Saccharomyces cerevisiae S288C: one gene and its partners. The protein of the gene in region 2 interacts with the protein of the main gene of each other region in a pairwise test. Each region holds a gene or a part of one and is shown on either strand. Other genes may lie near its edges. The genes, in order: BZZ1, PPH21 and PPE1.

The links.
Region 1: the proteins of PPH21 (region 2) and BZZ1 interact in a two-hybrid assay, tested with the Saccharomyces cerevisiae proteins (one large-scale study listed by BioGRID).
Region 3: the proteins of PPH21 (region 2) and PPE1 interact in binary tests that used the Saccharomyces cerevisiae proteins (3 or more experiments, as listed by UniProt).

What each region holds. Positions count from the first base shown.
Region 1 is NC_001140.6:336,267-340,023, reverse strand, and holds BZZ1 (Bzz1p), read right to left. Parts: upstream 1,942-3,757; coding exon 40-1,941; downstream 1-39. Other genes in the region: APE4 (aspartyl aminopeptidase), read right to left, coding at 2,215-3,687. UniProt on the Saccharomyces cerevisiae protein: Plays a role in endocytosis and trafficking to the vacuole. Functions with type I myosins to restore polarity of the actin cytoskeleton after NaCl stress.
Region 2 is NC_001136.10:219,049-222,758, reverse strand, and holds PPH21 (phosphoprotein phosphatase 2A catalytic subunit PPH21), read left to right. Parts: upstream 1-1,987; coding exon 1,988-3,097; downstream 3,098-3,710. Other genes in the region: SRF1 (phospholipase D regulator), read right to left, coding at 1-332; 60S ribosomal protein eL41 RPL41B, read left to right, coding at 958-1,035; RDI1 (Rdi1p), read left to right, coding at 3,471-3,710. UniProt on the Saccharomyces cerevisiae protein: Exact function not known, phosphatase 2A performs an essential cellular function.
Region 3 is NC_001140.6:248,033-251,789, forward strand, and holds PPE1 (phosphoprotein phosphatase methylesterase 1), read right to left. Parts: upstream 1,610-3,757; coding exon 407-1,609; downstream 1-406. Other genes in the region: QNS1 (glutamine-dependent NAD(+) synthetase), read left to right, coding at 1-305; type 2C protein phosphatase PTC7, read left to right, coding at 3,069-3,123, 3,217-3,757. UniProt on the Saccharomyces cerevisiae protein: Demethylates proteins that have been reversibly carboxymethylated. Demethylates the phosphatase PP2A catalytic subunits PPH21 and PPH22. Forms inactive complexes (PP2Ai) with phosphatase PP2A-like catalytic subunits.

The DNA of each region.
Region 1 (3,757 bases), on a different chromosome or scaffold from region 2:
CCAGGGAAAATATTTAATAGTTTCAGTTCATTCCTTCGTTCATTTACAGTAACTTGTAGGAAATAGACCTTTCAATCCGTCACATTCACCATATGTCCACCCGCTACCGTCATCGCCTCTGATAACAGTAATTATGTCCCCCGGATCAATTGAAATCTCATCATCTCCCTGTGCTTCGTAGGCATATATGGCCTCCATCGTCCTAACAGGTAGTGTACTCCTTCTTGGTGGTGGTACTTCTGGTGCAGGGCCTCTATCATTTGCTTTAACTGTAGCCGCGCTAGATATGCGAATATATGTGGTGGGTACAAGGCCGGTTTCCCCAGTGGTGTCGTTATTTATCTTAGTCCATCCAGAACCCGTATCGCGTGCAACCAAAGAGATTTTGTCTCCTGGCGTAATGGTGATTTCGTCATCATCCTTTTGTACGTATGCATACAACACTTTATTCTTGCCGTCATCACTGGAATTTTGTGTGGTCTTTTTTGTATTGTTGGTACTAGTGGTGCGTATAGAATTATTATCTGAATCTTCACCAGCGTTGTTAGGGGCAGAGCCTAGCCTAGTTCTTCTTGATGTGTTGAAGAGACTTGTTATATGCAAGGGTCCTCCGTTGCCATTACCAGTGCTCCCTCCACTCGAAGGCTTCGAGTCGACGTTCAGGATGTTGTGTTTGAACTTACTGAATATCCCGGATTTCTTCTTTGTTTTGGAAAGATCAATATTGTCTGTGGATAAATCGTATTCTTCAGGAACATTATTCTGAATACTTTCGATTTGAACTTCGGCTTGCAATTTTAATGTTTCGTGTGAGGTAAAGGGTGAAACGACATTTAAGTATTCCTTTAGTGTATCATAAAACTTAGTGGCATTGATATTATCTTCATTAGTTTTCATTTCGTGCTTTATCTTGTTCAAAGTAGACAGTTTGGATAACTCATTTTGAGTTTTATCTTGCAATGAATTGTAATCATTTTCTGCTTTTGCCAGTTTTATTCTCAAGTCTTCAACTTCCAACGACGAGGGAACAGCAAATTTTTCATCATCATGCCATACTGGAGATGGCTTATAGACAAAGTCTTGTGGTTCTTTCCAATTCTTTAGATTGTGCTTGATAAAGATGGCCGTGTTTAAAGAGGGTTTATTCTGCTTGACAACAGAATTTGCCGCCTGGAGTCTTTTGCTGACATTTGCACCCAGATCGTTCTCGACAGAAGCCGCCTTCAACCACAGATCATTTAAGAAAAGGGTCTTTGCCTCATTTACGTCTTGTAGAAGATCTAGCACTTCAGGAACATCTTGAAAATAGTATTTATCCTTAGTTCTATTTGCCTGGTTGATCTTGATTAAATATTCATTTTTACACTTGTTCATCTCCATTTCTTTTTCATCCAACTTCTTTTTATTTCTATCATTAGATGCCTTGGTATACCTATTTCTTGCCATTTCCATAGTGGAACAGGCTTCATCATAGTCCTTCTTCGCTTTTTCCAGTTCGTGGTAAATGTTATCCTTTTTATTAACCATGTCATTGTTAAATCCATTTATCTTGCTCAAAGTCATATCAAGTTTAGTGAATAATCCACTCAATTGATTTGCTACATGATTTTCAAAGTCGGTTGATAACTGATCATGATCCTTGGAAATCATATCAGTCTGAGATAGAATTTCATTCCATGCAACCACACCTGCAGCTTCAATGGACCCTGGCGTGGTAGTAGGTGTGTCACCTACCGAGATAGGAACTGAGGTCGAAGACTTCTTATTAAAGTACTCTGCTGATAAGCGAGATAATCTCTCGCTGTAGTCTTTTTCTAACTTAGCCCTTTCCCGATAAAATTGCTCAATGTCCTTCAACCATTTTAAGTTATTTTGGACCCATTTATGGGTTTCCTTAAATGAATCTTTAATTTCATTACCAATCGATAAATCTGCACTCATTTTTATTGCAAGTAATGTAGTAGTTGGCGTTTAAGGATAGATTTCCGCTCATACAAAATTGATCAATCTGCTACCTTCTTCAAAAACTATTTGCGTACAAACTAAATCTGTCTATTCCTTTGCTAAGCGTATATTCTTTTAAAAACTTTTTATTTTTCTGAAGACCCCGCGAAAGCTTATGTAGATCACAAGATATTATATATATTTACTATTTGTAAAATACAAAAGAGGGCAATAAATATACCGGATTATGAATCATCTAACAATTGCAGTTTAGACAACAATTTCAGATTCTATGGAAGTGTAGCGTTCAAAAAATTCCTTAAATAACTTGATTTGGAACTCCAGGTCTGCAGAGCCACCGGTCTCTCTAATCGAATGCATACTCAACACAGGATTACCCAAGTCTAGAGTTCTAATACCTGTCTTTGAGGCCAAAATGGGGCCGATGGTAGAACCGCATGGTGAGTCGTTAGCTACGACAAACAATTGCAAAGGGACTTTAGCAGCCTCTGCTAGTCTTTTCACCAAGACCAACCCTGGTGAATTGGTCATGTAACGTTGATTCGCGTTAATCTTGATTACGGGACCACCACCCAATAAGGGTTTGTGTTGGCTTTCGTATTTGTTTGCATAGTTTGGATGAACTGCATGAGCAACATCAGATGAAAGGAAAAACGACTTAGCGGAAGTTTCCAATATTGCCGAGTGAAACAAAGGTTTAGTTTGATCAGAACCGTCCCCCTTCAGGATGGACAACCTTTCCAATATATTAGGCAAGAAGTTAGAATCTGCCCCTTGGGCGGAGGATGAGCCAATCTCCTCATGATCAAAGCATGCCATCAATCTAATGCCTGATTCTCGGTCAATTTCTGTGTCAGCCGCCAACGTTAAACCGTGCATTGATGTGAAACAAGATGTCAAATTATCCAATCGACCAGAGAAGACAAACTCATCGTTGAACCCACCTAGAGTGGATGCATTATGATCATAAAGGATCAATTCGAAGTCTTCAATGTCTTCAATTGTATCAATGGCGAGTTCTTTGGCTATTAGCCCCAAAAGTTCTGCGTGATGCCTCTGTACTATCGTTTTTATGGAGGTAAACTCACCGTTATTAATTTCCTTTTCAGTTTTCGCTTCAGTTTTGTCTTCTTGCAGACCACCAATCGGCAACAGTTGAGTTTCTCTATTAAACTCGAATTTTTGATTTACGTCTCTGTCCAGATGAATAGCCAAAGTAGGAATCTTTAACAGAGGTCTATTCAAATCCACCAATCTAGCAATGGATTTGCCAGTTTTCGCATCCTTTACGAAAACTCTTCCGGCAACGCCCAAATCCTTATCAAACCATGAATGCCAAATAGCGCCACCATAAGTTTCCACGCCCACTTGTAAATACTTCTCACTGACTCTTTTAGAAATAGGCTTAATCCTTAATGCGGGGGAGTCGGTGTGAGCACCCGTAATGGCAATTGGATTACCAGGCTCCCACTTTCCACCAACAGCAAACGCAATAATGGAAGAGCCATTTCTTGTCACAAAGTACTTTCCTTTTTGTGCGACGTGGCCAGCCCACGAGTCACGTTCGCTCAACTCTTTGAAGCCATTTGACACCAGATGCTTTTTGATGTTATGAACTGTATGGTAAGGAGAGTGTGAGCTATTTAAGAAACTGACAAACTCCTTTGGGTAATCACTCTTGCATGTTTTGCTGGACATAGTTCTCAGTTGTATCCTGAACATAGAAAAGCTGAACCTTTTATTCTTTCTTTTTACCTACTTGCTCACATAACATGAATTTTTTCTTTCATTC
Region 2 (3,710 bases):
GGAAGATTTTTATCATCGGTAACATTTCCATCAACGGTGCCCTTATCCTGAAGTCTTAATTTATCAAACTGCGCCTCTAAAACATAAGGCGGCACTGTGGTAGGCACAAACGTGTAAGTATTTAATTTTGGATAGTCTAGTGGTGAACCATCACTGTGTTTGGGAACATGTATCTTTGCATTCTGTAATGCTTCCAGTGAACCTGACTTCCTTACTGTTTGATTTTTTTCAAGATCCACGTTTAAATTAAGTTGATTTTGATCTGCGATTCTAGAAGCGTTCGTGGATGTTGTATCAGAATACGCTTCTTGGCTGGAATTAGAATCCCCCATTAAATTTGTCAGTGTAAAAAAAAAGAACGCCTCAAAAAATGCAAAAAAATATCATTCACTTTCCCTTCTCAGCAATCTCACGGTTTCGAAATAGCAATCAAAGTATTTTTATAATTGACTAAACAAAAGGTGGTTGGAGACTTTGTGTTGTAGCTTAGAATTTCTTCCACTATATGAAAGCCAAGACCTCTTCTCCTCTTTCGACACTTCGTTTATTTCCACTTTCCCTTATTTAGTATTCATCGTTCAGAATGCTTTCTTTATTTCACGACGGTTACCACACCCGTACACCCTTATCTCATTTCACCAGTACCTTTCCTTATTAGATTCATCTTATTTTATTTTAGGATTTTTAGGTCATTGTACGACGCGTGTCGCACCATGGAAAAGGTGTCGCAGCTGCGATGCTATCCATTTACCCGTCATCATTGCTGGCAGAAATCCCATCTTCCTCTGCTGGGGTGATTTATATATATGGAGAGTTAACGAATGTAATATTTCTGAATGTTAAATAATTGTTATCCGTCATTATTGTTTCACTTCTCTCTTTGAAATTTCGCTTGTTTTCTGTTTTCATCTTATATTTTACTTCAATCCTAAGATAGTCATATCGACTTAATTCCAAATGAGAGCTAAGTGGAGAAAGAAGAGAACTAGAAGACTTAAGAGAAAGAGACGGAAGGTGAGAGCCAGATCCAAATAAGCGGATTGAGAGCAAATCGTTAAGTTCAGGTCAAGTAAAAATTGATTTCGAAAACTAATTTCTCTTATACAATCCTTTGATTGGACCGTCATCCTTTCGAATATAAGATTTTGTTAAGAATATTTTAGACAGAGATCTACTTTATATTTAATATCTAGATATTACATAATTTCCTCTCTAATAAAATATCATTAATAAAATAAAAATGAAGCGATTTGATTTTGTGTTGTCAACTTAGTTTGCCGCTATGCCTCTTGGGTAATGCTATTATTGAATCGAAGGGCTTTATTATATTACCCTTTAGCTTATTCTGAGGTTTCTGTGGCGTGCAAAGTGATGAACCGGGCGGGTTTTAAGGATAAAATCAAAAAGTGAAAAAATGAACGGAAAATGGAATACCTGTGAAATGGAGAATGATAATGAATCTTTCTGTCGTGCTTGAAAGATTTTCGGCTATTTTAATCGACTAACACATAGTAGTAGAAATAGTTTTCCGGATTACATTAGTTCGGCATTCTTTTTAGCAGGTTTTTGTTACAGGTTCCTTTCGACGCACCGTTTCACAGTAAAGGAGGTAATTAGTGAATCAGACGCTGCACTTTCATTGATTTTGATATACACATACTCCAATTAGTTTTAGTGTAAATTAAATTGCCCCAGTGGACACGATATTTACAAAAAGTGTTTTATTCTTCTTAGAAATACACCTGTTGGACTGCTCTTTTTTCACTCGTCTTCCCCTAGTTTTCTTTCCTTACCAGTAATTTAGTAAGAGTTTAGTGAGTTCAGGTTGAATAGAGTTATTATCTAATTTTAAACTGTTAATTTTACCGGTTGTGTTTTTTGAAATAAGGCAAAAGAGAAAGAAAAAAACAAATTATTTTGCCCCTATTTAGTTCATAGTGGAAAGAGGGATATAAATTATCGCATAAAACAATAAACAAAAAGAAAAATGGATACAGATTTAGATGTGCCTATGCAAGATGCTGTTACCGAACAGCTGACTCCCACAGTATCTGAAGATATGGATCTCAACAACAATTCATCGGATAATAATGCAGAAGAATTCTCGGTTGATGATTTAAAACCTGGTTCCTCGGGCATAGCAGATCACAAATCTTCCAAACCACTAGAACTGAATAACACAAATATAAATCAGCTTGACCAATGGATTGAGCATTTGAGTAAATGCGAGCCACTATCAGAAGACGATGTAGCACGACTATGTAAAATGGCGGTGGACGTGTTGCAGTTCGAGGAGAATGTTAAACCAATTAACGTGCCTGTTACCATTTGTGGTGACGTACACGGTCAATTCCATGACTTGTTAGAACTTTTTAAGATTGGTGGCCCTTGTCCTGACACCAATTACCTTTTCATGGGTGATTACGTGGATAGAGGATATTATTCTGTTGAAACTGTATCTTACCTAGTTGCCATGAAAGTCAGATACCCACATAGAATTACGATACTGAGAGGCAATCACGAGTCTAGGCAGATTACCCAAGTATACGGGTTTTATGATGAATGTTTGAGAAAGTACGGCAGTGCAAACGTGTGGAAAATGTTCACAGATCTTTTCGATTATTTTCCTATAACCGCATTAGTAGATAATAAAATTTTCTGTCTGCATGGAGGACTTTCCCCCATGATAGAAACCATAGATCAGGTGAGAGAGTTGAACAGAATACAGGAAGTGCCTCATGAAGGTCCTATGTGTGACCTTCTATGGTCAGACCCTGACGATAGAGGCGGATGGGGAATCAGTCCCAGAGGTGCAGGCTTCACTTTTGGACAAGATGTCAGTGAGCAATTCAATCACACTAATGATCTATCACTAATAGCAAGAGCTCACCAATTGGTAATGGAAGGCTATGCTTGGTCTCACCAGCAAAATGTTGTCACCATTTTCAGTGCTCCTAATTACTGCTACAGATGTGGTAATCAAGCAGCTATCATGGAAGTGGACGAGAATCATAATAGACAATTCTTACAGTACGACCCATCCGTAAGACCAGGTGAACCTAGCGTCAGCAGAAAGACGCCAGATTACTTTTTATGAGTATGTATACATATATGCATCTATATAGATATATATTCACTTTTCTCCTTTACCATTATCATAGTTAATTACACATTTAGCCAAAAATAAACTGCAAATTGCCTTGCAAATTTTCTTCTTTTATTATTCTTCAGATATATCAATCAATACGAGGCTTTTTTTCCTCCCCAACGCTTTAATCATTCTGATCATTACTCCGGGTGAAACGGTTCTCTAACGCGATCGTTTAAATTTCGCGATAGATCAGGGAAACGTTATAAAGATTGAGTGGAAAGAACTTCCATTCTTCAGGCTGCTTGTATTACTTTGATTCTTTTTCTAGCCACACGAATAACTCGAGTATTGAGCTTTTTTATTAGAGAAAAACTGAATAATGGCCGAAGAAAGTACCGACTTTAGTCAATTCGAAGAGGAGAGAAACAACGATCAGTATAAAGTTTCAGCCAAAAAAACTGTTGACGAATACAAAAATCTGGATGCTGAAGACGAATCCTTGGCGAAATGGAAAGAGTCTTTGGGTCTAAGTTCAGACGTCTTGCCATTGGAATTTCCCGGTGACAAAAGGAAGGTGGTTGTTCAAAAAATTCAATTACTAGTCAATACAGAACCAAAT
Region 3 (3,757 bases), on a different chromosome or scaffold from region 2:
AAAAATGTGGTCCTTATTCTATGTTCTTAAAACTTCTTCATCAATGGTCCCCAAAGTTAACACCTCGTCAAATATCTGAAAAGGTGAAAAGATTTTTCTTCTTCTATGCCATCAACAGACACAAGCAAACTGTTTTAACTCCTAGTTATCATGCTGAACAGTATTCACCAGAAGACAACAGATTTGACTTACGTCCTTTCTTAATCAACCCAAGATTTCCATGGGCTTCAAGAAAAATTGATGAAGTTGTCGAGCAGTGTGAAGCACATAAAGGCTCAACGCTTGACATTATGTCTATTGATTAGCACAGAAGAAGTGCTCACAGCAAAATAAGACTTTTCCACGAGTTCATATATTCTGTTATTTATTCTATCATAAATAAAGATATAAAAGTGATATTTAACCCTTATGTATTTTGCACGGTTTTGTGTTGACCCCAATTAGTCTTGATTACTACATTCCTAGAATCGTTCCGCTTCCAGAAATCAATTAAAGTGATTGCTGTTTTTATAGGCGAATCTTCTTGAATGAAATGCCCGGAATCTTGGAAAACTACCAACTGATATTTACCTTGCATTTGCCCCACAATTAATTCTTTATCGAGATTTTCGTTTCCCGCCAATATTAATAATTTACTAACAGGTAAGCCAACAAAGGAGTGCGACAGATCGGTAAACCATGTGTCCCAGAAAGGGCTAAAGGTCTTAAGGTTTGTTATCCTGACAACTTTCCCTGACTTGAGCGGAGCAAATAAAGCTGGTATAGCAATTTCGGCGCTTGACCTCAATCTCGATAACGCGTGTTGAACGTGCCAATCGACAGCGTCATTAATTGATTCAAATACATTGGGTGTATTCTGCAAAAAATGTTCAACTTTATTTAAGGCCATAATGGCAGCCTCTTCTACAATATCTAACATAGTAATACCAAGAATTTTCTTTTGTAGTTCTGTTGATAATTTAGGGTACGCAAAAGTACATATACTTCCACCAAGGGAATGACCAATTAGTATAACAGATACCTTCTGAAGTGGCTCTTGGCTTATTTTAGACTTAAACCAATAATTTAGCAGGCTTACAAAATCTTTGATAAAAGAGTCCCTGTCAAAGCATATAGGCGCATCAGCCTTCTTAAACTTTGTTTCTGCATGCCCCCTAGCATCAAATGCAAAGCATCCGCATCTTCCTTCTAGTTTAGTATTTAATTCCTTGGCCAAGTTTGCAAATGATAAACCTGAGGAGCCCGCCCCATGGTGGAAAATAAAGATGGGAATTGAAGTGGTATTTGATAACAATGAAGTAGGTAATGTATAGTATGTATTTACGTCCAGATCTCTATCAGGAAGACTTACCAACTCCTTATTATCAAAAAAATCACTCCAAGTGGGTAAACTACTCTTTTCCTTACTTGAAATTCTATCAGTAGTACTACCGGTTTTGCCCGTATATTTTCTGTTCCTATTTGATTGTCCATTAAATGATGGCAGGGAACCTAATGCATCACCATCGTTTTCATCATCCTCGTATGCTTCTTGGAATGTCGCATCTAGAACATTCTTGGCTCTCTCAAACTGGGATAAAGCAATTTTTCTTCTCAAATCGTCAGACATTGAAAATTTGAAAATGTCCTACCGTTACTACCAGTTTGTTGCCGTATTTTTGACTCTTTGTTGAGCATTAGTTGATCATTACCGCTGCAGTCAGTTAATGATATCCCTAAATAGGCATATTGTACAATTTCAAATATATTACCCGAATTACAAGAACAATAGGGTCTTCTACAATATTACTATGAACAATTCATAGGGGAACATAGTCCACTTCAATGTCGGTGCCAACGATTCTATTTGTTGTAAGTATATATGCTGTTTCCCGGCAATACTTTATATTGGGGGAATTTTCTGGAGGTTTAAGGGCATATTACTACGTCAAGGCTGGGATTGACCTTCTGGTATATATTACGTTGCGCAGGACATTCCTTATACTTGAGCCTTTGTAAAAACTTCTTCGTTCTCCTGACCAACCGTTCAATTATGTTGTGAATTTTTTGATCCGAGTTTGAAACATCCAAATTCACAAACAAACCGTTGTCATCCTGAGTTGGCGTCGGCCATTGAGCTTCCTCTATGTGTTTTAAATCTTTCATTTTAAGAAATCTAAGTAAGGAAATTGTTTCTCCACATGTGTACCGTATAAAGTTCTTGTTATGAATTAGAAGGATTATCACAAAAGCCCTCCATCAAATCTGATAATTTCATTACCCAAAGACTGTAATACCTTGGGTGTAAAGATCGTATTTTTTGATGTCTTCGTGATATTTTGCAGATCTTTCCATTTTATAAATTTCTGCAAATATCGTGCATCAGCTCATCTTGGAATTGGCACAATCTGCGTAATTTTTTTCTTGGTTCTCTTCTCCTTTTGATTTTAAGAGCGCTTTCTATTCAGTAGCAGATTTTCAGTAAATAAAGCCATCTTTCTCAAGTAAACTCATGATCATGCAGTTGTTCAAAATTACACCAATAACGATGTTATCTTTAAAACTTTCCCCAGAAAGAAGATGGCACTTTTGCACTAAATACTTCAAACTATTTAACTTTGAAGCAGGACATATTGCCGGTTATTTGACCATGCTGGCGCCGTTGACATTCATGTAAGCAGTATTAGCTTTTAAACTGCCATTAACGCACCTATACGATTGCGGCGGTGCGAAAACAGTAACTAGCACTCTTACGGCTCATTGTTTCCTCTATCCAAAGTTGCCTATATCACAATAAAATTAGAAATTAATCATTTTAATAAGCTTGCTGCCATTCAGTGACTCGCAATCTACGTTTTAAACGTAATTTAAAAATCCACTTCCACCTACATATTTTGCAACAGTCGTACGACAGAAACTGAGGCTCTATAAAATGAGATGTGCTAATTGTTCTTTCTTGGCTGGTTTCAGCTACATCTTTCTGTAATCAATCTACAAATTTACACGCGAGCTTCATTTTGACAGTAAACAAATGTAAAAGACACATGCAATAAAAGCGGTCCAGAAAACAAACGACAAAGCCACCAAAAATGTTTGCAAACGTTGGATTTAGAACTTTGAGGGTCTCGAGAGGTCCCCTTTATGGTATGTTTATTGTTTTATTCATTGGTGTGCTAATTGCTAAATTTGCGGGACAAATGCTAATCGACTCAGAGACTAACTTTTCTCATATCATAGGATCCTGCAGTCAAATCATCAGCTTTTCCAAGAGGACTTTTTACTCAAGTGCCAAGAGTGGGTATCAATCGAACAACAGTCATGGTGATGCGTATAGTTCAGGTAGCCAATCAGGCCCGTTCACCTATAAAACCGCGGTAGCTTTCCAACCAAAAGACAGAGACGATCTGATATACCAAAAACTAAAGGATTCTATTAGATCACCTACAGGAGAAGACAACTATTTTGTTACATCAAACAACGTTCACGATATTTTTGCCGGTGTCGCAGACGGTGTTGGAGGATGGGCTGAGCATGGGTATGACTCCAGCGCCATCTCAAGAGAATTGTGTAAAAAAATGGACGAAATAAGCACTGCTTTAGCAGAAAATTCATCCAAAGAAACGCTTTTAACGCCAAAGAAAATTATTGGTGCTGCATACGCAAAAATTAGGGATGAGAAAGTAGTGAAGGTTGGTGGGACAACAGCCATTGTGGCTCACTTCCCATCTAATGGAAAATTGGAAGTTGCCAACTTGGGTGATTCTTGGTGTGGAGTCTT